Coturnix japonica: one gene and its partners. The protein of the gene in region 7 interacts with the protein of the main gene of each other region in a pairwise test. Links are inferred from orthologs where the notes say so. Each region holds a gene or a part of one and is shown on either strand. Other genes may lie near its edges. The genes, in order: PARVG, OSGIN1, PGAP6, CEP19, CPNE2, CHAF1A and REL.

The links.
Region 1: the proteins of REL (region 7) and PARVG interact in binary tests that used the Homo sapiens proteins (3 or more experiments, as listed by UniProt). The two-hybrid records come from large-scale screens. The link is inferred for Coturnix japonica from reciprocal best matches to the Homo sapiens genes REL and PARVG.
Region 2: the proteins of REL (region 7) and OSGIN1 interact in binary tests that used the Homo sapiens proteins (3 or more experiments, as listed by UniProt). The two-hybrid records come from large-scale screens. The link is inferred for Coturnix japonica from reciprocal best matches to the Homo sapiens genes REL and OSGIN1.
Region 3: the proteins of REL (region 7) and PGAP6 interact in binary tests that used the Homo sapiens proteins (3 or more experiments, as listed by UniProt). The two-hybrid records come from large-scale screens. The link is inferred for Coturnix japonica from reciprocal best matches to the Homo sapiens genes REL and PGAP6.
Region 4: the proteins of REL (region 7) and CEP19 interact in binary tests that used the Homo sapiens proteins (3 or more experiments, as listed by UniProt). The two-hybrid records come from large-scale screens. The link is inferred for Coturnix japonica from reciprocal best matches to the Homo sapiens genes REL and CEP19.
Region 5: the proteins of REL (region 7) and CPNE2 interact in binary tests that used the Homo sapiens proteins (3 or more experiments, as listed by UniProt). The two-hybrid records come from large-scale screens. The link is inferred for Coturnix japonica from reciprocal best matches to the Homo sapiens genes REL and CPNE2.
Region 6: the proteins of REL (region 7) and CHAF1A interact in binary tests that used the Homo sapiens proteins (3 or more experiments, as listed by UniProt). The two-hybrid records come from large-scale screens. The link is inferred for Coturnix japonica from reciprocal best matches to the Homo sapiens genes REL and CHAF1A.

Annotation. Positions count from the first base shown.
Region 1 is NC_029516.1:63,627,635-63,631,650, forward strand, and holds the start of PARVG (gamma-parvin), read left to right. Parts: upstream 1-1,216; 5' UTR 1,217-1,402; intron 1,403-4,016. UniProt on the Homo sapiens protein: Plays a role with ILK in promoting the cell adhesion and spreading of leukocytes.
Region 2 is NC_029526.1:89,129-93,148, reverse strand, and holds the start of OSGIN1 (oxidative stress-induced growth inhibitor 1), read right to left. Parts: upstream 2,801-4,020; 5' UTR 2,709-2,800; intron 1-2,708. UniProt on the Homo sapiens protein: Monooxygenase catalytic activity. Involved in regulation of cytokinesis; promotes RHOA activity, probably acting locally at the midbody in late cytokinesis.
Region 3 is NC_029529.1:10,721,681-10,725,936, forward strand, and holds the start of PGAP6 (post-GPI attachment to proteins factor 6), read left to right. Parts: upstream 1-1,456; 5' UTR 1,457-1,523; coding exon 1,524-1,617; intron 1,618-4,256. UniProt on the Homo sapiens protein: Involved in the lipid remodeling steps of GPI-anchor maturation. Lipid remodeling steps consist in the generation of 2 saturated fatty chains at the sn-2 position of GPI-anchor proteins (GPI-AP).
Region 4 is NC_029524.1:3,567,003-3,570,009, forward strand, and holds CEP19 (centrosomal protein of 19 kDa), read left to right. Parts: upstream 1-1,340; 5' UTR 1,341-1,364; coding exon 1,365-1,488; intron 1,489-1,590; coding exon 1,591-1,952; 3' UTR 1,953-2,507; downstream 2,508-3,007. Other genes in the region: PIGX (phosphatidylinositol-glycan biosynthesis class X protein), read right to left, coding at 1,045-1,108, 1,188-1,239. UniProt on the Homo sapiens protein: Required for ciliation. Recruits the RABL2B GTPase to the ciliary base to initiate ciliation.
Region 5 is NC_029526.1:1,800,084-1,803,583, reverse strand, and holds part of CPNE2 (copine-2), read left to right. Parts: intron 1-410; coding exon 411-485; intron 486-2,670; coding exon 2,671-2,742; intron 2,743-3,500.
Region 6 is NC_029543.1:1,626,062-1,630,103, reverse strand, and holds the start of CHAF1A (chromatin assembly factor 1 subunit A), read right to left. Parts: upstream 2,801-4,042; 5' UTR 2,641-2,800; coding exon 2,634-2,640; intron 2,328-2,633; coding exon 2,277-2,327; intron 2,053-2,276; coding exon 1,232-2,052; intron 1-1,231. UniProt on the Homo sapiens protein: Acts as a component of the histone chaperone complex chromatin assembly factor 1 (CAF-1), which assembles histone octamers onto DNA during replication and repair.
Region 7 is NC_029518.1:5,487,017-5,490,516, reverse strand, and holds part of REL (proto-oncogene c-Rel), read left to right. Parts: intron 1-2,315; coding exon 2,316-2,456; intron 2,457-3,500. UniProt on the Homo sapiens protein: Proto-oncogene that may play a role in differentiation and lymphopoiesis.

The DNA of each region.
Region 1 (4,016 bases), on a different chromosome or scaffold from region 7:
TGACCTAATAACTACAGATCAATTTCCCATGTTTTAGTTGTTCCTACTCCCTCTGCCTGCTGATAAGAAACTATATTTCAGAAGTACAGCATTTCCATTAGTACTTCTTTTTGATTTTACTCCCTACATTTCTGGGCTGTGGCATGCACTCCTACATAGCATAGAACGTACTCTTAGTCTTTTCTGAGCTGATGAAATGTGCTTTTTTCTGCTTAGAGAATATGCTAAGTTTGTACTTCGACCACTAGACAGAATCACACAGAATCACAGAATGATTCCGGGTTGGAAGGGACCTCAAGGATCATGAAGCTCCAACCCCCCTGCCTGGCAGGGCCACCAAACACACACCTTTACTAGATCAGGTTGCCCAGGGCCCCGTCCAACCTGGCCTTGAACACCTCCAAGGACGGGGCATCCACAACCTCCCTGGGCAGCCTGTTCCAGGACCTCACCACTCTAGAAAGGTTTGGAGACTGAAGTTTTGGAGGTAAATTCTCCGTTATTAAGAATCCGTAACACCTGGGAGTCTGTTTTCATCTCACTTTCTTTCATCCTATTTAGCTCATGCAGAACTATTAGTTCTCATCTATGGTGTGGAGCTAAACACAGAAGTCAGTCCCTTAATAGTGTTAAAACAGACTGGCTTAATTAGCGTGGCTGTCTCCTGTCTTGTTCTGGGATTTCATTGAGGACTGCAGAGCTATTGCTTTTTCATTCTGGAAGACTTAACAACTGCAAGTGATACCTGGAAAAGATGTCCAGGGAAAGCAATGGCTGTGGAGAGCTTTTCCTCTTTAATCACTGGTAGAAAAGGAGAGGCAGAGTATCAGATCTGCTTAGCAGAGGTTACGCTTGTACCAGATGAGCGTCTGGGGCACTGGTGTGACTAACTGGCTGTCCAAGGACAAATGAGCTCATTTCCTTCTGCCTAGGTCCCCCTTCTGCCAGGTAGGAAGAAAAGTGCTGATCTGCCTTATAAAAAGCTTTAAGGACCATGAGTAAGAGGTGTAATGTACCATGATGATTTTATCTGTCACTGGATCTTTTATTAAAGGCAAAGAAAACATGCAGCGATGTGGACTAGCAAACGATGTGGTGCTATGAAACAAGGACAGTACCTTGCTTAATACTTTCTGGCATTTCAGGAGTTGTGAGGATGCATGCTTCCTGCATTTGTATTTCTGTTTATTGCAGTCACCAGCAGGAACTGAGCACGCAGACAATGAAGTTCCGCTTATGACTCTGCTTTCGTTTTCAAGTACTGTCAGTGCGGAGTGGTGCAGCTTCCACCACGCACAGTGTGCGTGCTTTGTGCTGCCCTGTGCAGTGGAACCGAGCCCCTGTGCAACTGCATCGCGCTGCTGTCTGAAGAGCTTCAGGAGAAATACTGAAGAATTGAATTGTAAGTTTGGGACTCTTTCAGGGGGAGTTTTGGTGTTGTTTTCTTCAGCTGTAGAGCTTCATGCTTTCGCATGGATTGTTCTTGCTGAGACAGTGTCTCTTCTGATGCCAATGACAAAATATTGCTCTTTGAAAAGCCTGATACTGAGCAAGGAAGCAAAAGTAAGTTTTAAGCTGGGTGCATGGCGCATGTTCTCTCTCTTGATTTATTCTGCTTTTTTGAAGGCAGAAGTAGTATCACCAGCCATCAAAACTGGGCTTTGTTCCCTGTTTGTGTGATCTGTTTAGAAAACTGTTCGTAGGAAATGTGCTTGTGCTGATGCAGAGCAGGGCTTTTGTCTTGTTGGGACAGGAAGTTCAGCAATTGAAACAATTTGGTAACGTCGGTGAGTGCTTGTGTATATCCAACCGTCGATTCTGATGTTGAGGACCGCGGTCCTCTCACCAGTGCTTTATATCACACATCAGGGATGATGTCAGACTGTGAGAAGACTGTGAGAAGTGAGGTGAGCTGAACTGGCTCACTAAAAGAATGAGTTGGTTTATCTGTTGTCGTTACATTGCAGCATGATGCAATGTAGTCCAGTTCTCGGCCTAGCAAAAAATTCACTCATCGGCACCACGGCAGGTGGTGCAATAGGAATACAACAGCTGTAGCTTTTAAAGTGAACAAGCTGTGACATCTCAGTAAAAGAGAACGAAGGACCGCATAAAACCATTTCGTTTGAATAGTTTACAATGTTAAAGCTCAATTTTATTAAGAAATTCCACTGTGAAATGCCACTGCAATCAATATTCAAACAGTTGTCTCCTAGAATGATCTCTCCTCCTAATAGTGATAAATAATTCATGCAGGAGGCCAGAGAAAAATAGCCTGTCAGTAACAGCTCTGGATAGTGAACTTGAGCGCTATGGGAAGTGTGGAAACTTGCAGGTGAGAATCAAATCTCCCATCCTTTCCAATTTCTCATTAAGCAATTAAACCCAAGGAGGAGTCCAGATCCCATTTTGTTCTGTTTCACGCTGTTTCTGCAGCAGGTTATCTTTTGAAAGGCCACTACCTAAGATCAAGCCTCACAGCAATGAGACTTGTCACAAGAGACTGCTGAAGTGCGCTAATTATTAGTAACGAGTAATGAGTCTATTAAATGCTAAGGAGCTGCAGTTCTTAGCCTCCGAAATGGCTTTTGGAAATCAGTGTAGGTGAACGCAAAGTGAAACATGTAGTGGGAGAACACAGTACTGATTCTACGGATAAGTGATGGGCTTAGAGCAGTGTTGGTATTTAGGAATAAGATCTTGGAGTTTTAATAGACAGTTCTGTTCACGTGTCAGCTCAATGCTCAGCAGTGATCAGTAAAGCAAACGATGATAGGAATTAGAGGAAAGGCATGCAGAACAATGCAGAGGGTATTGCGGACACCATCCTAAACCCGTGCAGTTCTGTTTCCTAGCAATTCAAATAGGATGTGGTAGCATTGGAGAAAGCTCATGGGCGGGCTGGGAAGTTCATGAGAACTAAATATTCTGACAGCACCAAATCACTAGGACTCCAGTTTTGGTTTAGAAAGGCTGAGCAGCAGGGTATTGTAGCTTGTGAGATTGTGTTAGGGAAGTAACTTGTGAACGCTTGCTTTGTTTTCTTTTTCCCTAAGCATCTGACTTTGGGTGCTGTAAGGGACAAGCAGCATCCAAATTATCTCTGATATCGGGTGAGACATTTTGTCTCACCCAGGATGGCCATTTTACCATTCTGACCAAGTGCGACACACAAGACCTAGTCCTTGGAGTGCATTAACTTTAGCTAGTGTGAATTCTTAATTTCAGACCCTTTCCTACAGGCTTCCAAATATTAAAGGTAGCTTTCTGACAAACAGATGAAAGGATGTGGCAGGCAGTATGCCTTATTTTGATGTGTAAATATCCAAAGGAAGTGCAAGGGATGTGCAAGTTGAATATTGCAGTGAAGTTGAGTTGGTAAGTTGTGGTTTATTACATAGGGCTTTAGAGTAAAACTGTCAAAGGCAAAACAAGTGCCAGAAACCTAATTTAAGTTGGACTTGAGTTTCTCTGTACTAATTACCTCTTTTCTCCTAGTTTGTCACATCTAGACAGCCTCATCTTAGATAGTTCAGTTGCTTCCCAGGCACTAAATGACTCAATTTCTCTTAAGTATCTTAGTTTATTATCCACGTTTCTAGTGACAGTGTTCAATTTTGCAGCCGTAATGACAGTAATTGCCTTGTGACTCTTTTTCCTTGGTCATTTTCTGGGCATTTTGTATCTAATTTGTTTGCAAGACCGATATACAAAAGTATTTAATTGCCACTTCCTACCAATAATCGTGGCTTGCCAAGATCAGTGTTAAAATACATGTTTGTAGTGGACTTTGACTGGAGCCTTTAATGAACACTGAGAGAGTCTGCAGAGGAGAACATTAGGAGACATCTTTGCCAGACCCTTCTTCATAGATCATTGCTGGTGGCAGTGAACTTCAGTTTGGTAGGACGTGTGGAGGGTTATACAGATCCCTGCTCCCACAGCTCCATTCCCTGCCTTCTGCTGTCCTGCACTGCTCCTAGCCATTTTAGAAAAGCCTGCCTTTAATATTGTTT
Region 2 (4,020 bases), on a different chromosome or scaffold from region 7:
AATTGGCACAGTGAATTTGCAGGAAAAAGGCAGCATTACTGCACAAGAATAAAGCCATTCAGTAATTAGTGTGTTTGTGTCAGAAATGCCTGTTGGTCTGTGTAATTCCTTTTATATCTCTTAGTTGTCCATTTTCACTCACAGCAGAGCTCAAAACTGAGCATAGGTCCACAAAAAGCAATAATTCAGAGCTACTGTGGTGTGAGTTATCCACACATATATTCAGCATTGAGCAGAATAAGAACCATGATCCCCTGAAATCTCATTCAAATCATTTTCTTAGGAATGTCAATAACAGTGTTCGCCTGGCTCTTCCTCCAAACCTACTGCACTAAAAGTTACTGTTACTGCTTCACATGCAATTTTTTTGCTCTTGGTGTCCTTTTTGCAGCTCTTGCCTTTATAAACCAAATATCTATTGCTAGAGTAGTAATGAGAGACTCCAGATTAGTCCTACACCCTTATCAACAATGATCACACAGAAAGAACATACTTATGATTCACTCCTGTCAGACTGGCTGCAGCATGCCCCAATTTTTCTGCTTGTCAACAGAGAAACTGCAGGCATGAGAAGAAGGATGTAGTTCTGATTCTCAGAAGTCAGTACTTATCTGGATTGAAAATGCTAAATTTGAATCATTGAGTAAAACCTCTACCAAAGAGCTTGTATGGATATCCAACCTTTGAAATACCTGGGTCACACTGAATGAATTGTTGTGTTGGCCTGCACATAAAATATATATACAGTACAGTTAACACAAGTAATAGCACTTTTTTTTTCTTCTCTTTTTTTCCCCTTTAAATTAAAACATAAAAAAAGAAGGCAACATGAACACAAAACTAATGGGATATTTGATGATGTTTTTGTTAATGTTCTTGGTGCGTTCCCAAGGTGCTCGATATTGATCTATTTCTTTCTGTGCTTCATCCTCGAAAGCAGTTGTTACAAACATACACACTGCCCCAAAGCAATGGTGTGAATAAGTCAGAACTGTGAAACAAGGCATATTTCTCCCTGGTAAGATAGGTCTTATGGAAGTCTAGTAGAGAGACATGATCAGATTTTTCTTTGAGTTGAATGTCTGATTGCAACTCTATACATTTCATTTGAAAATTTGCAGGTAATGTATTTATGTTGACTGAAAATGGAGTTGCAAATATACAAAAAATTGATGATTTTTTTTTAAATCTTGAAACCTATTCTCAAATTCCTTTATCAAAATGGAAAGCACAGCTGCATATTTTTCATTTTTCACAGGACTATATTTGGCCAATGTATTGAAGTGCATTAAATTATTTGCCATAACTTGAACTTACCAAAATTTAAGTTTCATTTCAGATGTGGTCATGGTTTGACACATATCACAGATGAGTTGATTTTCACATTGAAGATGGCTGTTTAATTCATTTAAATGAGTGGCCCTCATCCAACCTCATCCAACCAAAGCTGTTAAATCACTTAGCCGTTTTTCATCTTCAGATTCTTCCTTTTAATTCCATCCATGTCTTTATTTCATTTTGCAAATCAAAAGAATATTTTTAGCATTTTACTCTGCCCTAGGCCACCTTACTTCAGAAAAGTAAATAATATCTCCCTAATCAGCACCCATACTTTAAGGAACTGCTGGATTGGTCAATCCCTTGAACTTTATGAAATTCACAGCTTTGATGAAGATTTGGGAAACATTATACATTTTTGAAGCTTCTATGCATAAGTTCTCTTGATGTATGTTGCTGTGATATTTCTCAAATGTGAGCTGCTGATTGCAACTGCATCATCTTCTATTATTTTTACAAATCCCCATTTTTTGTTTAACAAACATCACTGAGGATCCATCCGGAGCTGCAATGGATATGTTAATAGAATCATAGAATGGCTTAGGTTGGAAGGGACATTAAAGATCATCGAGCTCCAACTCCCTGCCGTGGGCTGGTTGCCTTCCACCAGCTCAGTCTGCCCAGGGCCCCATCCAGCCTGGCTTAGGGCACCTCCAGGGATGGGGCATTTACAGTGTCTGAGTAGCCCGTGTCAGCACCTCACTACCCTCTGAGTAAAGAGTTTCTTCTCATTTAGTTTAAAGCCATTTCCCCTTGTGTCCTTTTCCCCCTCAGAACATGTAAAAAATTGCTCCCCTTCTGGTTTATAATCTGCCTTTAAGCACTGGAAGAACACAGTGAAGTCTTTCCTGAGTTGCCTTTTCTCCAGGATGAACAAGCCCATCTACTTCAACCTGTCTTTATAGATGTGCTCCAGCCCTCTGAGGATCTTTGTGACCTTTCTTCAGATCTGTTCCAAAAACTCCCCTTCTTTCTTCAGCTGGCAACCCTAGGCCTGGAAATTGTACTGAAGCCAGACTGACTGGAAGGTCCAATCAGATTGGCATCCCACACTCAGCACTGGGCATTAACTGACAGTCACTGAAGGTAAAGAACAGTATAAGCACATGATGCATATCTTGTACCTTCCCTTGCCTCCAAATATTTGCAAATGGGACAACTGGCTGAAACCTGATAAGGTTTGTTCACTTGCCAGCCCCTTCATTCAAGTTGTTTTCATCTGGATTCTGGCAATTTCACACAGCCTGTAGTCTTTGTATTGGATGGGAGATTTATAAAACCGATCCTTTCTGCACCAGTCATCTCTATAAACTTCTTTTATATTCCACTCTGTTTTCTGACTTATTCCCAAGACATAAACTGTTCCATACCTTCTGTCAACCTGGCTTGTCTCCTCTAGACCTCTCCCATTTTTCTTGTCCTGGCATGAGAGAAAGAGCGCATCACAGAGTTCTTCATGCACAGATGAGCCATAGGGTTATGCAGCAGCCTTTTGGTTTGGCTCCCATCCTTTCCTAGCACTGGATTTTCTTTGCCGCTAGCAAGCACTGAGCCGATGCTTTCACAGGACTATCTCTGATGACCTCAGATTCAAGTTCAAGCTAGCTCTGGCTCAGCTTCCTCATCTGGACTTGTGCCACAGTGTGAGACAACACAAAGAAATTGGGCAAAAGTGTGAACTTATATGATGGTGCAGAAGCATTGCAGAGTTTGTTTTTCAGACCAGTGCAGTCACCCATGTGCCTGATAAAAAAGCTGAGTGGAAAGCCTTGGGACTTTCTGACTACTACTTGCTCACAAAGGAACCTCAGTAAAATTGAAGGGCTAATGTTTGGGAGGAAACATGCTCTCACCTTGTATATCAGGAGGGAGGTGACCTTTAGTAAACACAGCAGAGAAGCACAGAGAGCTCATATTGCATTCCACACCCTGGTCAGATCTCAATCTGCGCTTATTCTCTCACCTGCAAAAAAGTGTATACAAGAAGAGTTCATACAAGGTCACTCCTGGGTTTCCATCAGAAGTGGCTGCTATTTATGCATATTTGAAAGAGATGGAGTACATACACAGCTGGTGGATGGCCTGAACCCTGAGCTTGCCTGGAAAAGACACAAAGGATTCTAAGCAGCACTAAGGTAACAAACGTGATCTCCAAAGTACTCCAAAAGATGCTGAGCCTGTGAGAGTCAAATGTTAAATGTGTCTACTTCAACACTGCAATGTTAAAACAGTTTGCATGCAGGCTTCCTGGGAAAGCAGCCTTTCCTGCTGACCTTTCTTTTGAGTTTTACTTCTTGAGCTGCATAAAAGCTTTTCTGCTTGAGACCATGGAAAGAAAGCCAGAAAACATATTTATATAAATCTCTCAGCAACAAAAACGAGCCATGTGGCACTTGTGAACTTGTTTGTGTTTGATGTCTTCAATATGGAAAGCTGTAACACAAGCCTTAATTCCTAGATTTTCTTTTGTTGCCCAGGTTACAATTAAAAATCACACAAAGGAACATGCTTTCTTTCTAAAAGGAATTTTCTTTTTTGTATATAATTTAGCAGAATCGCTGCCATTAGTGCATGAATATGCCTGACACTTAAACTGTTCAATTCAGCCTGTAAATATTAAGTACAGCTATTTCAGAAAGTTAAAAATTGCATTCCAAAGAAGCTTTGCAAAGTAACAAGAAC
Region 3 (4,256 bases), on a different chromosome or scaffold from region 7:
AGCATTACCAGAACTTAAAACATTGTCTGTGTTTCGCTGCCATCACAAAAAGTTTAATGCCACAGACAATATCTTAGAAAAACTTTCTGCTCAGCTCCTTCTGGTCATCAGATCCAGCCAGGTTTCCACTGTGGCTGTACCAGTAGCTACCCTTTTCAATGAAGAAACAGCACTTTTCTGTCAGTCGATGTTGTCCACTAAGGATTGATCTGATTCTCAATACAGAATGGACATGCAGACACGTCTTCCTACCACACAGCAGCCACCTGAGATGATCTGAATGTGCTTAGGGACACAGAGAACATAAGAAATGTCCCTGCTGGACCTGATGGTTGGTTCATCTCACCCAGCGCTGTGTTCAGCAATAGGAGATGGCACTGGGGAGCACACAAGCCTCGCCATTTTAGCTTGTGCTCCTCCAACACCTGCATCAGCAGTTGATGATTTCATAGAGTAAGTTCCTGCATGTTGCCTTCAGCATCTCTTTATTGACCTGTTGTTCATGAATTTACTCACCCGTTTATAAACCTGCTGACCCCATTTGTTTCTACAGCCTCCCATGGCAGCAGGTTCCAGAAGTTCATTCTCCCTCCCTGCCTCACATGAAGTCCCTTTTATCCATTTCAGACCAATCTATTGGACTCATTGATGGCCTTTAATTCCAGTACTGCAGAATCCAGTGAGCATCAGATCCATATCCCCTTATGACTGTGTAAAGTAGGCCATTTCTGTGCCCTCTCCTGACAAACCCAGTCTTTCCAGACCATCATCATCCTGCAGCTCCCCATGCCCATCTCATTTGCCATCTCAATTGATCTGAGCTCTTTCTCTGCATGCACTGTGTCCATTTTAGACACAGATTTAGAGGCCAGAACTGCACAGCCATCCTAAGAACCAACTGGTGCCTGGCCAACCAAAGGTGGAGCTCCCAGAGCAAAGCAAGAAAGGCAAACCTGCCGTGAATCTGATGCATGGGAAAAGCCCTGAGACACTGCTGGATTGCATCACCCACACACTACAATGGAAAACCTTTCCTCACTCTCCCTCAATGAAGGAATAAAGTCTGATATTGCCATCTTGAAGTCTACAGCTCTCAGATTTTTTGACCCACGTCCCTGAGATGCAGTTCTTCACTGTCATCTTCCTTCCCAGATCCCTTATCACTGTGATTTCACTTAGGCAACGAGCTGCAAGGCAGACACAACACAGCCAGGCTGGAGCTGGAGCTGGATGGAGGTTTCCCACCCAGCTCTGCCTTTTTAACTGCTTGTACCAGAACCAGACAAACAGGGCTATGGGAGCAGTGTCACCCCGAGGGTCGTCCCCACGATGAGGGCCGCCCCCTGCTCCCTGACGGCCACCGAGACCCCCCTGGGCCCGGCTCAGCTCCGTGTGGTAGCCGGTTGTCCCGGGGGTGGAGCGGGGCGGAGCGGCGGAAGCGGGAGGTGGCGGAGACGGCGGCGATGATGATGGCGCTGCGGGGCGGGCGGCGGGCGGCGATGCCGGGATAGAGCGGGGCGGCCATGGCACGGGGAGCCGGCCCGGTGCTACCGCTGCTGCTACCGATACTGCAGCTCCTGGTGCTGCCCGAGGGCCGAGGAAACCGAACCGGGGCCGGTAAGTGCGGGCAGAGGGGGGGGGCGGCCGTGATGGAGCCTCGCATCCCCTTGCGGCTGCATCGTGGCGAAGTTTATTGTGGGCAATGAGTGGGCAATGGATGGACCGAAGGGATGCAGCACATCTCTATGGAGGCAGGTTTGTTATGTCCGGAGAAGAGAAGGCTCTGGGCAGACCTCAGTGTTTCCTCCCAGTGTTTGAAGGGAGCTTGTAAGCAAGAGATGGACCGGATTTTTACGTGGCTTGATAGTGCTCGGAGAAGGGGGAATGGCTTTAAACTGAAAGAGAAGAGACTTAGGTAAGATTTTAGGAAGGATTTATTTACTCAGAGTCATTGAGACCTTGGAACTGCTGTCCAGTGAGCTGTGGGTGCCCCATACTGGGATGCATAGAGGGTCAGTCATTGGGGTCCTGCACAGTGTGAGGGGCAGCCAGCCCACAGCATAGGGGTTGGAACTGAATGGTCCTTAAGGTCCTCTCCATCCCAAGCCATCCTATGACTCTTAAGGTTTTCCCTCGTTGTGTAGCGGTGGTGGTTGGGGCGGATGGGCAGGAGTGGGCTCTGAATGGGCAGGAAGCAGTTGCAATGGTTTCGAAGGTGCAAGGGCTGATCCTTGTGGCCGTGAGCCTGAAGCTTCTGCTGTGTGCATGGCAGGGGCTCTGCTGTGCTATCCAAGGGCTGTACCTTGTCCTGAGAAGCATGTTTGCTCTCTTCGCCCTGATGTGGAGGTAGGTGTATGTAACTGTGGTTATCAGCTGCTGAGAGTGGTTCCCATGCTTCAGATAGCCACAGACTGCTCAGGGAGCTGCTGGCGCCAGGGTGAGATGTCACTTTTGCCCCAGGCCAACCCTACTCTGGCATCCTGCTGGGTGGGTTCCCAGCCCTCAGGTACCTCCCCTGTGTTCAAGGTGTGATATTGGGTTCTTCTTGGCGTCATCCTGCCAATTCAGGTGAATTCCTCATTGGATCTGAGAACTGTTAAGGATCAGATCCTCCTGAGAGGAGTGAGGAGTCTTGGGATACATCAAGATGTGGCTTTGACATGGGTTACATTATAAATAGCACACAAAAAGCCTGCCACAGTCATCTCTTGTCTTGAGTCAGACTGGTCGCTGTCTGTGTAGCTGTACTCAGGGTTCTCAGTCTTTATGTCCCTTTGGAATTGCTGCTTGACCTAAGCTCTGCACAGGGTTGAGCCTGCTGGCTTGTGAAGTGCTGGCTCTTATGAAGCCCCAGAGATATTTGCATCTGCTCTGAAACCGGGACCTCGTCCTTCTCATGGGGAGCTCTGAAACCAGCGGTCAACATGTCTAGAAGCAGAATGATATAATCTTTGGATGAACAAATCCAAGCTGTCGCAGGTGGTTCTTTATTCAGACATTCAAAGAATGTGTCTCCTCTGTGCATCTGTGATTCTCCTCATGTTTTGTTTGTCTTCTTCAAATTTTTCCTGCTTTTTGCGTCCTATGTTTGAAACTTTTAGAAGGAGGCTCTTGTTCAGCATCAAATTATGTTGTTTCCATCCTTTCCCACAGGGATTTCACAACTGCCCTGTTCAGTTCAAAGAGCTCTGAGCATTGCTGGATGGTCAGGTCTGACTCCCAAGGTGTTGCTGTGCTTCTGAAGAATGTTCAGAACAGGGTAGAAACAGGCACATACAGAGCACAGCAATATTCAATGCAAATAGGGAGCAGGAGCACATGCCTCACTTGCACATGACCCGTCTTTCTGGCTTTTCTTTACTAATAATCTATTATATCTTCATGTAGCATTTCCTTCTCAAACCAGGTGAAGTGGGAATCAACTCATCTTGTTTCCTGGATGCCCAGCATAGCAAAACCTGGGAGTGCAGCTGTGGCCCTGGTAGGTTCTCTCCAAGCAGAGCTGTGTACTTGGACTTTGTCCACACTGCTGTACTGCAGGCTCATGTGCTCACATTGTCAGCTGTCACACAGCTCTGTGCCATTCCCTTGGGCTGTAACTGCAGCTCACCTCAGTCAATATAACTGACCCATCCTTAATGTGACCCATGCTTGACTTCTTAATTCTGACAGCCCTCTGCTCCTCCCTACAACACCTCATAAGTTATTCTTCTTCTTCTGTGGCCCCTTGAAGGTGAGGAGCTGCTGATGGGTGCTGTTGGCCATGCAGTTTGGCTGGAGAGCTGAAGTGGGTTTTTGCTGGGTGCTGGTGGAACAGTTCATCTCTGATCAGTCTGTCCAGTGTGAGCTTTGGGCAGGACCATGGCTGTCCAGGCTTTACTACTCTGTCTTTGTCTACCCTTGGCTTGTGCTGGCACCCAAATGTCACCATGGACATCCAGCAATGAATACGCTGTGTGTGTGCAGAGTGCCACTGGGTGCAAAGAAGCTGCTGATTAAAGGCTTCTCTTTTCTGTAGTTCCTATGCGTGAAATAAGACTGGGTTTGTAGGAGAGCACAGCTGATTTCCTTCCTCCACTCATGACTGTGGGAGCCCGTACTGCACTGCCGTCACATCTGTGTTTGCTTGAAGGGTCCCTTCAATGGTATTTGCTCTTTACTGTCCCAAAGAGTGACCTAACCCTGACCTGAGGACAGTAGCTGGAGTTTGTTCTGCCCTGTGCTGGGGTACAACCAATCCAGGTCCCTTCATTTGG
Region 4 (3,007 bases), on a different chromosome or scaffold from region 7:
CCAAGTGTCAAACTGTCAAATGCTCAGAGATGGGTGTAGCACATCCCAAGAGTGAAGCTCGGCTTTACCAGCTGCTCTGTGCTGCTGACAACCCCAGAAAGCACAGTGCGACTGCAGCCCACACAGAACAAGCAATAGATCCTAAATATGTGAGAAAAGAATCACAGACACACGCACTGCATGTGAAAAGAATCACAGAATGTCAGGGATTGGAAGGGACCTTGAAAGATCATCTAGTCCAATCCTCCTGCCAGAGCAGGAACACCTATATCAGGTCACATTAAGTTTCCCAGGAGACAGGCAGAACAGTGAAGGTACCTATAACTGATATGATCCTGCTGTGGTACGCTATTACAACAGTATACTCACTATAAAAAACTACTTTTGATCCATCACTCAGCTTGAAAGAAATAATTAAGAAACAAATAGAAATTATCTACATCTGTGTTGAGGATTGTTGTCTACAGTACATTTTCCAACTACTCACATATCTGAACCTCAGAAATAAGGGGCTTCCAGAACTAATTTTGTCCAAGACAACTTAATAATAATTGTAAAAAGGTTCTATGCTTCTTTAATGTCTTTGAAAGATATGAAAACAGATCCTTATGATGCTCATTTATTTCCTAAACCAACCTATATTCCAATTTTAGCTAAAACATTGAGAATCAACATCACCAGAAAATGCCTATACATTTGGAACCATGCCACTTTGTTCCAATACAGTTCATTACGACAACTGATACATTCAGTAAGATCCTGTTTAAGCATACTGACTTTAAATTTGAGTTCTCATGGATATCTACCTTTCTTACAGCTACTAAATCCAGAATTGTCAGAGGGAAACTTTCAACAGAGTGGAAAGCAGTGAAACGCAGTTTAAGATGTCTATGAAACGATGGCTCCCAGGCTGGATGTGGCTCTGTGCAGCCCGGTCTGGTGGTGGTGACCCCGCACACAGCAGGGGTCGGAACTGATGATCACTGTGGTACTTTTCAACCCAGCCCGTTCTATGACTCCGTGTGAAGGCAAACCCGGCCTCACCTGTGCAATCCCTCCTTCAGCAGCTCCTGAGACACGGCGCTCCTCACGCAGGCGGCCTGAGCGTCTGAAACGGCACAGACCGAGTGAGCAGCGGCACCGGGAGCACAGCGCGGCTGCTGACGGCACGACGGCGTTATACTTACGGAAGGCACAGAGCAACGCGCTTAACGCCCACCGCCACCGCACGGCCGCCATCTTGGAACCCCCGCCTCACCTCACGGCCGGGGCTGCCCGCGGCGCTGCCCGATTCACTCGGATGGTTCGGGCGGCCATTTTGAGTCGCGTTCCTCAGGCACTTGGAGCGGGCAGCCCGAAGGAGGATGAGCCGCACGGCGCTGCAGTGCGGCGTCCGCTTCCAGCCGCCATCCGTCATCCTCATCTACAGGGACAACGACAAGACCCGGCGGCGCATCATCCCCGTCAGGAACTTCTCCCAGTCCTCAGGTGTGTTGGTTCTCCCCCGGTTCCTCTCCATCTCAACTCCATATCTCTACTTAAAGAGATCCGCCTGCCCCTTGTAACTCCTCACGGTGGTTTTGTGTTTAGATTGCGGCGTCGCTGCTGAGCAGCTGAAGAATAACCCTCGGCACAAAGCCTACCTGGAAGGAGTGTCGCTGTGTCAGCTAAAGAAGCTGCACGTTCTGCTGAGAGGCCACCTGAGGGGAGAGAGCCTGGCTGAGAGCCTGGGGAAGATTGAGCAGGAGCAGAACATTGACCCCGAGGAGGACATGAACAAACTGGACGATGAGGAGTTAGCCAAAAGGAAACGCATCATGGACGAGCTCTTCGAAAAGAACAGGAAGAAAAAGGACGACCCGGACTTTGTCTATGACATCGAGGTGGAGTTTCCCCAGGATGAGCAGCTGGAGTCCTGTGGATGGGATGGGGAGTCGTGTGAAGAAGTCTGATTGCAGACCGAGAGGAGCTGGATGGGCAGAAACAGATCCCATATTCCTAGGAGAGAACAGTGCCATCCTGCTCCCTCCACTGCAGCATCTCCTGTTGGTGTGGCTTGAAATTGGCCATGGAGAATCTGAGGCCTAAGATATTCCAGCAGTTTCAGGTTTATATGCAGTGTAAGGAGCTGAACTGAGAAAGCTGAAACGAGACAGCTGAACTTGGTGGCTGTTTTACTCATTTCCAACGTAGGAGTGCCCCAATTTAACTAATTTATCTTTCCTTTGTTTCCATCTGGCTGAAAACCTCACCATGTTTTCCTGTGATTTCTCTTCAGCTTTATCTGAAAATGAAATGTTAAGTATTTACATCTTGGAAGCAATAATACACTTTATTGGGTGCCTGTGGTGTTTATCACCACCTCGGTTGGAATGTGAAATATACGTTTGGATACATCAGTGTCTCATTGAGGATATCACTCTCACCTTCCCTCAGTAGAGGCCACGTTTGCCATTTCAGGTTGCACAGGTTAAATCCTTCATTAAAAAACCTGAGCATTTCAAAAACAAGTCAGTTTTGGAAGCACTTTGGGGATGCTCACAAGCAGAAGAGTGGCTGAAATAGTCTGAGTGATCCCCCAGCAGGTACCTGTGTAGATAGTAGATGGCTTTTGGCTATTTCTATCTGAAATAGGGACAAAAAATGGCCACGTGAAAGGGTGGATGTGATGGCCTTCTCCAGATCTTTCCACAGCTGTGCCTGGCTCTGTTTCTGCAGCTCCATGCTCAGAGCTCACCCCATTGACCACAAAGCATGTGGTAACCAGGAGAGATAAACAGATAAAACACCATTACCAGAAATATAATTTATTCTTGTGTCTTTCGGCCAGTTGTTGTACATCCCTGAGGTCTGAGGTTCTGTCTCACTGGCACAGCGGGCACTGCCAGCAGTGGTGCCACCACCAGTGCAGTGTGGGACGGGGTCAGCATCCCAGTCCTTCTGTTCTTAGTGGTTTACCCTAAGGCTGAAGCTTCACTGACAGATCCAAATAGATCTGCCCCTCTTC
Region 5 (3,500 bases), on a different chromosome or scaffold from region 7:
TTAGATAGCAACAGCTAGAAGCTAAACCATTTCATTATGGTTTTCTTCTAATTATTATTTTCTGGCTGTGTGACATAGGACCAAGGGTGGAGACAGAAGGATGGATGGGGCTGTGCTTTTAAGCTGTAACCCATAGATTTGGAAGGGCTTGCTGGTGGGAATGGAAGAAGAGCACAGCTGGTTCCAGCAAGTCATTGCGTGGGGCTCTGCAATCTGTGGGGAAAGCTCACAGGGCTCTTGGGCAGCAGTGGTGGCACTGACAGCATCGTGGCCATCTCTGAATGTGGGATCTTTCTTTTACCACCGTGTATACTGAATGTGAATTGACTAACATGAGCAATGATCAGTTGCTTATGAGTCTGCATTTGATCACATGACTTTATTTTTTGTGGTCTTTTTTTTTCTCCTAGATTGTCTCCAGCAAGAAAATAACGAGAACTCTCCTTCTGGGGAATGGCAAGCCAGCTGGGAAAGGGATGATAACGGTACAGTAACTCATTTACCTTACCCATGGAGTGTGTGAATGCAGATAATAAACTGCAGGTGATGCAGAACACCAGCAGGGCTGGGGTTGTTGTCCCTTTTTTTCCCTCGCCTCCCATTTTCCTTCCCACCTTTGGTCTCTTTGGAGGACATTATATTGCCCAGTCCCTGTCTGGTGACTTCAGCCTGTGCTTTTGTCTCTGAGCGCTAAAATAAGAAATGCTAAATCTAGAGAAGAACGCAGTAAATATGAGCTGCTGGTTGTTATCTCGTACGTGACGCTTGTTCAGACCTCCCTGGAGCAGCCAAAGGTAAAAGGGCCGATTCCTTTGCTGACAGTCAGTGGTTTTGTTTGTAGGAAGAGGATGAGAGTTCTGCCGTAGCAACAGGTCTCATAGCAACAGCCTCTGCTCCTGCTGCAGACCCCTTCGGGCAGTGGCTTTCCTGCTGTGGATCTATTTAGTGATTTCTATTTATTTAATTATTTTAAAGAAGAGACTAAATTTAGGCTCGTTTTCCCCCCATGCCGCATCTCCTGTCCTTTTCGTTCACTTCTCTATTCCAGTTTGTTTGTGTTAGAGAAGCGAAGGTATAGAAGAAAAGGCCAACGTGGAGTTAAACTGCAGGCAGGTCTAAAAGCACCAGATGGGTCTAAAACCATTTTAAAAGACCAAGATCTGCCTGCTGCAAGGCCATCTCCCATGGCTGTTTGCTCTAGAGACTGGGAAGATGCTGTTAGCTTTTCTCTCTTAATTGCTGCAGTTAATCTTTAAAGGCAGAAGGGGAAGCTGCATTGAAGCCTGCAGTGGGCACCTGATGCCGTGTGCCTTCCCCAGGAGTGGGCTCTTGCTGCCCCATACCTGCTACTGGAGCAGGAAGAACTGGAGCAGTTGAAAAGTTTCCAGTCAAGTTCAAAGGTTTCCAGCTTTAGAGGAGGAAGCTTCTGATCTGTCACTAATGCATCATTAGAACTAAGGGGGCTGGGATGTCTGCTTCTTTGCTTTGTGTGCTGGCAGCGTTGGGTCCTCCAAGCCTGACACATTGCTGTGCGCTGGGGTTAATGCTGCCAGCACCAACTGAGACAATCTTCTTTGTGCTCACAGAATGTAGGGTTGGGAGCCAAACCCTGCTATCCTCACCCACGCTCTGCTTTCCTCACCCATGGTCCCTTCAGCTTTATCTAGGTCCATTTTCTTAACTGCAACACACAAATGTCATTGGGCTGAGTGCAACAGAAATGCCTCGGCTGGAGTACTGGGACTGAGTGAGAGTCCTGAGGTTTGAAAGGTGTGGAAAATCCCAAAGCTCATCACTGTAGGAATGAATCTTGAGGTCTTTACAAAGCACTGGGGTTGTTAGTTTCCATAGGGAGATGTCACCATGGTTTGTATGTGCAGCCCAGCTCTACCTTGGCCTCTGAAGAGCCCAAAATTGCAGGGACTCCAGGTTGGGTCTGCTGTGGTCTGCAAAGGTAATTTGTCTCCCTGCAGCACCTGTTCCTTATACCACTTTGACCATCGTGCATGTCCACCTGTGGCTGTGTGGAGGAGTGATGCTGTGGGAAAGGGAAGAACAGGAGACGGGAGGTGGGGAGCAGATGCTTGGGTAGGACACAGCCTGGAGAAGAAATGCAAGTGATTCAGAAAGCAACTGCTAACAGAAATGAATAAAAGCTGGGGGGGGGGTTGTAATAAACATTTGCTTTCTTAAAATACCAGGAGATTCATTAGACGGTGTTCCAGACAAAACCAGCCCACTGGTCTTTGGCAGTCAAAGCCATTTTGGAGGGTGTGTGAGAAAAATCTTTGAAACTGAAGTAATGTGGGCTGCGTTTGTGCCTGCTACAGCCATCAGGAGCTGCAGTGGTCTTTGTCCTTGGGCCATCTTGATGGGTGATGGTGGATGAACATGGCCCCACTCTGGGCAGCAGTGATGCACAGAACTGGCTGCATGAGTCTGGCTCTGGTGGTTGTTTTGCTGGCAGCTGTGTGACCCTGGGCAAAATCATTTTAACTCTCCAGTAGTGGGATATTGTGTATGTTAGGTCTTGAGAAACTTGAGAATTACTTCTGTAGGAGTTGCACAGCTCCAAGGTGTGCATCCTCATGTTGCAGGATTGCCCTCCTTAGTTCAGTGTTCACTGACTTTTCGTATGAAATATGAACACAGCTTCCCCTTGTCTTTCAGATAGCTGCTCAAGAGCTGTCGGACAACAGGGTGATTACTCTGAGTATGGCTGGCAGGAAACTGGATAAAAAGGTGAGTTGTGATGTGTCAGGAGGATGTAAATGTTAAACTTCTGTCTCTTGTAGGCTAGGGAATCTAAGGAGATCTCTGCTTGTGAGTACAGTAGTGTCATAAAGCTGTCTCTATGTAGAAAGCTTGGAGGTCTGGAGTCAGGTCCTGGCTGTGTCACTCCCTGCTGGTTAAGCCCGTGTCTCAGCTTCCCTGCTGTCAGAATGTGGAATTCTTCATAATGCAGGACTTGTGTACTATCATGTCTTAAAAACAATGTTCTGAGCCAGATTTATTACTTCAGTGGCTGCTGTTTGGAAATGTCTCCTGACTGGGCTGACAGTTTTGATACCCCTCAATTCAGTATTTCAGAAGTGCTGAGTGTTCTTGGCTTGTTGCCTCTAGCCCTCATTGAAACTGAATGAGAGTTTGTTTATATATCAAACAGGAGGGCCCATCTTTCCAGACGAAGAAGCACCAACCTCGTGGATATAGATAATGCCAGTTTTTGCTTTGGGTATGACATGCAGTATAACCATAAGCCTTTCTGAACAAAGCAATCTGACCTTATTTACCAGGCAACCAGAACGATTCCTCTTAAACCAGTTCTGTTGCTAAGCAATCGATGTGTTCTGTTTTTTTTCTTTCCCTTCCTAGTGTCTCCAGAGCTTGCATTGTTGGTAGGATGGCCCTTGGTTTTCAAGTCACAGTAAAGCGTGCAGCCAGGCAAACTTGCTTTGTTCAGTCCCGTTGTCCAGGCCAGATGGTTTATCCAAGTGCTT
Region 6 (4,042 bases), on a different chromosome or scaffold from region 7:
CAGTGCAGACCAGCACAGACATCCCACCCCAGCAAACAGAATGAACAAGGTCAACCTCACCTTGTACCAGGCAAAACCAATCACTTGTTGACATGATTACATTACATTCAAAGTCAAGAGCTCTCTTCTGTTCTGCTGTACCAGGAGAATGGTACAGCCTAATTCAGTTTGTATGTGCATTTCAAAGTGATATCACAAGTTTTAACAGCCTGAAGTCAGAACCAGGTAGTTCTCTGTACACCTGGGAACATCTGCCTCGTTTTCCCTTCCAATAATGCAGTTAAATGCAAGCAAGGACAGCAGTCAGAGAGCTCAGTTGAACTTAGGGCTGTACAGGTATCACAACTGAGTGTCGTGTACCAGAGCATCCTCCCTTTACACCTCCACCAATCTGCTCCCCAGGAAGACTGAGCACTTTCCAACCACTCAAGTCACCATTTCAGCCATCTGTTGGCTTTAAAGCCTCCCTTTCAGCACGACACCAAAAGTCACAAAGTTCAGAGGTCTTTTGTTACAGAGCAGGCAGTGACCAGAAGCTACAATATATCCCAAGCCCCAGCACACACAGGGCTGTCAGATCAGAGGCATCCCATCCCCTCCAGCCCTCAGCAACATCTCATTGTCACAGGAGCACACAGTGACTTATCCCTTAAGCACCCCCATGCTGGACAGGGCACACAAAATGGCTGACAGCACAAGCCATACACACTTAATTCCTATTGAGACTTATTTAGCTCGTTCTCTTTCTTCAGAGGGAAAACTGCACTTGTGTTAATGCCCTGTAGTTTCACTTAAAGTGCTTTTAACAGCCTGGATTCAAGATCTCAGAGCTGCTGCTGGAAACAAGATGGCCCACAAAAAAACCCTCAGCAACAGAGAGAACAGAATGGAGGTTATGAACCACTATCTATTGTACAGAACTTGTTTTGAGCTCTGTCCCTATCCCAATTAGTAAGGTGTACATCCCAAGGCATACACTTCATGATCACTATAAGAACCTGTAACAGGAGCTTAGAGCTGCACTCATGCTATTCAAACATAGCAACTCAAAACCAAGACTTAAGCCATACAGTTTAAAGGATTCAAGAGGGTAATCATTCGCTCACATTATTAATAGATGGACAACACATTCCATCTGGTCTCACAATCTTTGCAACTGATTTATCCTTTTCATGACAAACAACCCGTCTACCATGTAATAAGTCTTAAACAACCAAGAAAAGAGACCAACCTTCCTAACAGGCGTTGAGACAGCTAAAGGACTAGTGTTTCTCTTGGTTTCTGCAACAGGCTGCGCCTCAGGGGAGCTCACAGAGAGAGAGCTCAACGAGGAATTAGTAAGTACAGAGTCTCCTTCATGGGACAATTCTACGGTCTCATTTTCTGATGTGACACTTCCATCCAGAGAAGTGACTTGGGGAGATTTGGCAGCCATAATATCTTCAAGAAGCACTACGGGCATCTTCCCCTCAAATATGATGTCCTTCAGTTCACCCTGATTAACCTTCGTGTTTTCCAAGTTGTTACACTCTGTCAACTCAGAACAAGACTGGATTCCATCTACCAGATCTTCACCTTTATTTGCAATAGCTTCGCACCGCACGTCAGTCTCCATTGATTCATCAGTTTGGTTGTTCTGAGTGGAATTCAGGCAATCCAGCTCGTTCATATCTTTTCCTATCACACCATTAGTCAGAGTTGCAGTAGATGCTTTTGAATCCAAATTAACATGGTCTACATCATCACCGAGTCTTTGATGGGATTCATCTACCGAGTCAATAATGACGATGATTTCATCTGTGTTATCTTTTGTGCCCTTCTGTATAAAATAGTCTAACGGACCCTTTCCGTTAACGAGTTTGGGAACAAAATTCACATCTGAATTGAGCTGGCAGTCATTCTCCATATTGTCCATTGATGCATGCGACGTGTCTGTGGAGGAATCCTTACTTTGCCCCAAGCCACCCTTACAACTCTTTCCTTTCTTGCCTTCTGCTTCTGCATCATCTTTCTCCTTTGGTACGGGATTCAGGCGCTTGAAAGGCAACCGAGCTGCAACAAACAACATTTGGCTGTTTAAGTCACAGCAAACAAATCACTGGGGCAGGGGAAATAGAAGTTAATGTATGGCTGTTAAGGTAGTTGGCTGTTAAGCTGTAGAATGAAACCAAACTACAGCTATAGACAGCTCATTACAGCCAATATTCCCAGACCTGGAGTGTTTTAAAGGCATTAGGGCTTTATAGGAGGTGACATAGGCTCCCCCACGGCCTTACCTTGCACGAGTCTCCTCGGAGGAACAACCGCTTTGTCTCTGCACTCCATGGCTACAAAAGAGAAACAAAAAGAGCCCAATGAATGGCCGGGCCACGCGAGCAACACCCAGAGAGCACAACCAGCTCCAGGCCGAGCCTGAGGGCTGAATAAAGCCAAGAGATGAGGAAACAGCCCCGCTCAGGGCCTGGACCTCAACGGGGCCTAGCACCTCAACGGGGCCTAGCACCCCAACGGGGCCTAGCACCCCAACGGGGCCTAGCACCCCAACGGGGCCTACACTCTCAGGCCTCCTTTGTTACCTCAGGAAGGCCTCACACCCCTGGAGGCCCCATGATGACCCCCAGGCCTTGCCCTACCTGCCATGTTGAGGCGCCACGGCTCCAGCTGTAGCCGAACCGAGCGGTTCCGGCCCGTTCTGACCCGCTCCGTCCGGTTCCGGCCCGGCGCCTCCCGCTCGTATTTGGCGGGAGCCGGGACGACCCCGCGCCTCTCCGCGCTGATAGGCTGATAACACCCACGTGACTCGCTCATCCGCCCGCCCTACCTCCGCGAGGCCTGGCCCCGCCCCCACACCCGCATTGGTCAGAGCGATGAGGAGCGCTGATTGGTAGGCGCAGTTGTCACTCTCGCTCGCTGGATGCGCTGATTGGAGAAAATAGAAGGCAGGAGGAGCATAAAAGCTCCCTCACCCTTAGGCCTGAGGTCGTGCTGCTGTGGGGCAGCAGTGATGGCGGAGCAGCTCTATGCAGATCAAAGCAGTATTTCTCTAGTAACGTAGGGCTGGGGCCTCTCAGCGCACTAACTCAATGAGTGGGCCGAGACAGTGCGCAAAATGGCGGCCGTGTGGCCAACGAGAGGCCTAGTTAGTAGGAAGAACTAGTATAAAGGCTGCTGGGATTGTAGGCCGCTCTCCCTAGCGCCCGCTCCATTCACCTCCCACCCATAGACAGCAACGGCACCGCGGTGGCGCTCCGCCAGGCCGCTAGGGGGCGCTATGCTCTGCCGCTAGGGGGCGCTCCGCCAGGCCGCCAGGGGGCGCTGTGCTGTCTCTTAGGGGCGGGGCGGGCCGTGCCGCTTCCTGGCGGCGGCGACTGGGCGGAAACGGCGGCGGCGGCAGCGGCCGAACGGGCAGCGGGTGGGCTCCGTGTTTGCCGAGTGTCACCGCCCCCACCCGGTCCTGCAGGCAGCATGTCGGTGGCGGGGCTGAAGAAGCAGTTCTACAAAGCCAGCCAGGTGAGGCACCGCGCCCTCCGTGATATCCCTCCGCTCTCGGTGTTACCGGGGGTTCGTTATCCCCCTCCGTATCGCCGTTCTCCGTCCGGTATCCCCGTGTTAACAAGCCATTGCTCCCCTTGTGTCCTTATGTTCTGCCTTGGGACACCCCCGGTGCCCCCTCCCGGTCTGTGCTGCTTGCCCATCCCGTTACCGGCGCCCATCCCTTGGCCAAAGCCTCACACAGCTCCCGTTGGTCGCTATGGGCTCCATTGCCATCCCCGATATGGGAACTGATCCCACACTGTTGTGGCAGTGGGTCACAGCACTCCTGGTTCAACCCCTCCATTGCCATTAGGGACCCTCCATTTCCTCTATGATGGATACGAGTCACCCCTGGTTCAACCCCTCCATTGCCATTATGTACCCTCTATCTCTTCTATGATGGATATGAGGCACCCCTGGTTCAGCCCCTCTGTTGCCATTAGGTGCCCTCCATCTCTTCTATGATGGATATAAGGCACTGTTGGAGCTCTGTATGCTATCAGTGTTG
Region 7 (3,500 bases):
TAAGTGTGGATCAGAGTCATCTGAGCTGCTGGGAGCAAATTAACATTAAACTTTTGATAATACCTTGTGCAAGCTGCAATATAAAGAACACACTCCCCCCACCCCACCCCAATCAGACTGTATCAAGAGGCAGTTGGGATATGACATGAGTTATTAACTATTTCAGCAGTGTTGAGGCTCAGAAACCTCATTTTAACTACCTAGTAACTTGTCCAAACGTGAAGATATTCTGAAGTGTAGTTTTAACCACCAAGTCACCATCAGGTGTATTTTGGCCCCCTTCTCCAACAGCCAGCAGCTGAGCACCTGAAGGGAGAAACCACCAGAGCCTACACCAGGAATAGGCTTGTCTGCAGCATCCTTGAGAGCAAATGCTGTGGAGTCAAGTTATTAGAGCTTCAGCGTTAGTTTGAAGGAGGAAGATTAAGAGAATGACAGGAAGTGAACGTCACACATGCTGTGTCAGTACAGACTCACAGGCTTTCTGGTGTAAGCTGCATATGTTCAGTGTTCTGCCCCCTGTGTTCCCAGTGGTGCTGTGCTGCTGTGGGAACTTCACTCTGCATATCTGGTAATAGAGACGACCAGCAGCCTACAGAGTTCATGCTGACAGCTTCCCTGAGTCCTGGCATTTCTGGGACTACATTCAAAGCTGCCGCTTAGTTTTGAACTGACTGGATTTGTCTTAAGACTGCTGATGGCAGGCTGGTAAAGCAGAAAGGTGATTTGATTTCTTTTTACTATAGAAACTGTAAGAAATGGAGATATTCAAAACACAAGACTAAAAATGCCAGTGGAAAGTATTCTGAGCTCAGAGCATTGGTTGTTTCATGCTATCAAAAGGTGAAAGGAAGAAATCACTTGAGTGGGTGATGTGGAATCCCACTCATGGCAGGGTGGAGACCAACCCGGTGATAAAAGCTAAAGGTCAGAGCATTGCAGTCTAATCAGTACAACGTGATCCACACGCTTCTTATCGCAAGTGCATTTCACTTTTTTATTCTTGCAAGAGGCCTTTGAAAGGGCTGGGGAGGGAGTGAACTTCAGAGGCTGTGATCTGCTGACTTGGTGTGCATTCACTTTAGGCAGTTACAGTCTGACTGAGCTGAACTGCTGTGTTGAACAACTTTGGAAGAGAACTACTCCCAGTGATTTTAATTACTAGTGCTTTACTGAAGTGAGATCAAATCAGAGTCTCATTTAGCTACCGCTGAATGTTAGCACAATAGTTTAATGCTGGACCTTAAAGAAAAGCATTGATTTCAGATAGTGTTGATTCTGCCAGTTAGCCATGAAGCTAGGATTGGATGCATTAAATGTTTGATGATGATATCCTGGGCCCTGTGTTCTGAAATTAAAATAAATGAACTCATGATCTGCTGAGCTGGAGTTATTTATTGTGTTTTACACTCAAATTAATTTGCGAGGAAACAGTTTGTTTCCAGCAAGGGTTTGCTTGTTGGATTAGAGAAGTATATCATAAAGACACCACTGATTGCTGTACCCAGGTTCAAAAGTGATACTGGTTTTGCTGGAAAGTGTAGATAGTCTGTATTGTGTAAGCTTCATTCTTGTCCCAAAAACTGAATTATTTTCCATCTCAGTTTCTAGAGGAAAATAATGGTTATTGCATAGCAGAAATCTCTCACTTGCTGGAAATTTTTAGCTAGATCCTAGGACTCCTTTGTACTGAAGGATTTCTCTTTGCCAGGGGCATTCCTTTATTAAATATCATGCACAAGTAAGAGATGTGTCCAGCGAATGACTGCAAATACATGAAACTGGTCTGGGAGGCAAGGTGAGGAAACTAGTAAGCAAGGAAGACAAGGAACAAGTTTACGATTAGGAAGAGAGGGAGAAGGCAAAGGTGGCGGTATCCTGGTTGGTGTGACTGTCTGCTTTGTGCTGTGTGGTCACCTTCCTGCTTCCAGCCATAGCTGCTCGGGGGCAGCTGAGCTGAGACTGTTTGACTCACCCATGGGATGGTCTGGTCAGAGAAAAGCCTTCGTAGAAATATGATGGTGGGGAGAAGACTGACTTCTTAGAAGGGAAGTTTTTGTTTTTTGCTTCAGATTTAGCCTTGTGTGACCAAGGAAAAGTGTTAAGGTCCTTTTTTTTTTGTGGTGTTTTTTGTATACAAGGAATTTATTCATGCATAGCACTAGAGAATGATGTGGATGCACTTTCTTTGCTTTGGCAACAAACACAAATTTGGCAGTTTGTTTTTTACTGGTGGAGACAACACCAGACTGTTAAAGAATTGCTGTTGTTTTTGAAGACTATTTCTCAGTCTTGTATTTCCTTTTGCTATTTAGTGCCTGAAGAACAGCTGCACAACATCGATGAGTACGATCTCAACGTTGTCCGCCTCTGTTTCCAAGCTTTCCTCCCTGATGAACACGGCAACTACACGTTAGCTCTTCCTCCTTTGATTTCCAACCCAATCTATGACAACAGTAAGTAATGACTCAGTCAAATGTGCTCCCCCCTCGCACCAGGACAGATTCTGAGGCTTTGAGCTTTTTGCCAGCCCTCTGGGGCACTTTGCTGGTTTGAGATTGTTTGATACACTCTTAACACACATAGCAAGATAGTCGGCACGCCTCTTAGATGATTTCAGAGTGACGTGCTGGTAGGCTGGAGTAGAATTGTTTGTTCCTGCCACAAGCCAACTCATTGGTGCTTTATTCACCCTTGTTTACATACACAGTGATGGCTGCAAGGATGAGCTTGCTTCTGGCATGCCAAACAATTAAAATGGTAATGAGATAGATAGCTGCCATAAGATGGATATGTTGTCTGTTCCTACTGTTGAGAAGTCCTGTCTTTGACTCGTTAGGGCTCTCTGAAGGGCAGTTCTCAAGAGATACTTGCAGAATTTCAATGATGTGCATATAACCATTATCATAGAATCATAGAATAGCTTGGGTTGGAAGGAACCCCAAGGATCATTGAGCTCCAACGCCCCCCTGCCAGAGGCAGGGCTACCAACCTCTGTATCTAAGGGCTGCCCAGGGCCCCATCCAACCTGGCCTTGAACACCCTCAGAGGTGGATGGAGCATCCACAGCCTCTCTGGACAGCTGTTCCAGAAGCTCACCACTCTCATAGTGAAGAACTTTCCCCTGACATCCAACCTAAATCTTTTCTCCTTCAGTGTAAAACCATTTACCCTTGTACTGTTATTATCTACCCTTTCAAAAAGTTTACTCCCCTCCTGTTTATAGGTTCCCTTCAGGTACTGAAAGGCTGCAATGAGGTCACCCCACAGCCTTCTTTTCTCCAGGCTGAACAAGCCCAGCTCCCTCAGCCTGTCCTCATAGGGGAGGTGCTCCAGCCCTCTAAATATCTCTGTGGCACTCCTCTGGACCCACTCCAACAGCTCTCTCTGTCTTTCTTGTACTGAGGGCTCCAGACCTGCACACAATACTCCAGATGGGGCCTCACAAGAGCAGAGTAGAGAGGGACAATCACCTCCCTATCCCTGCTGGCCACCCCTCT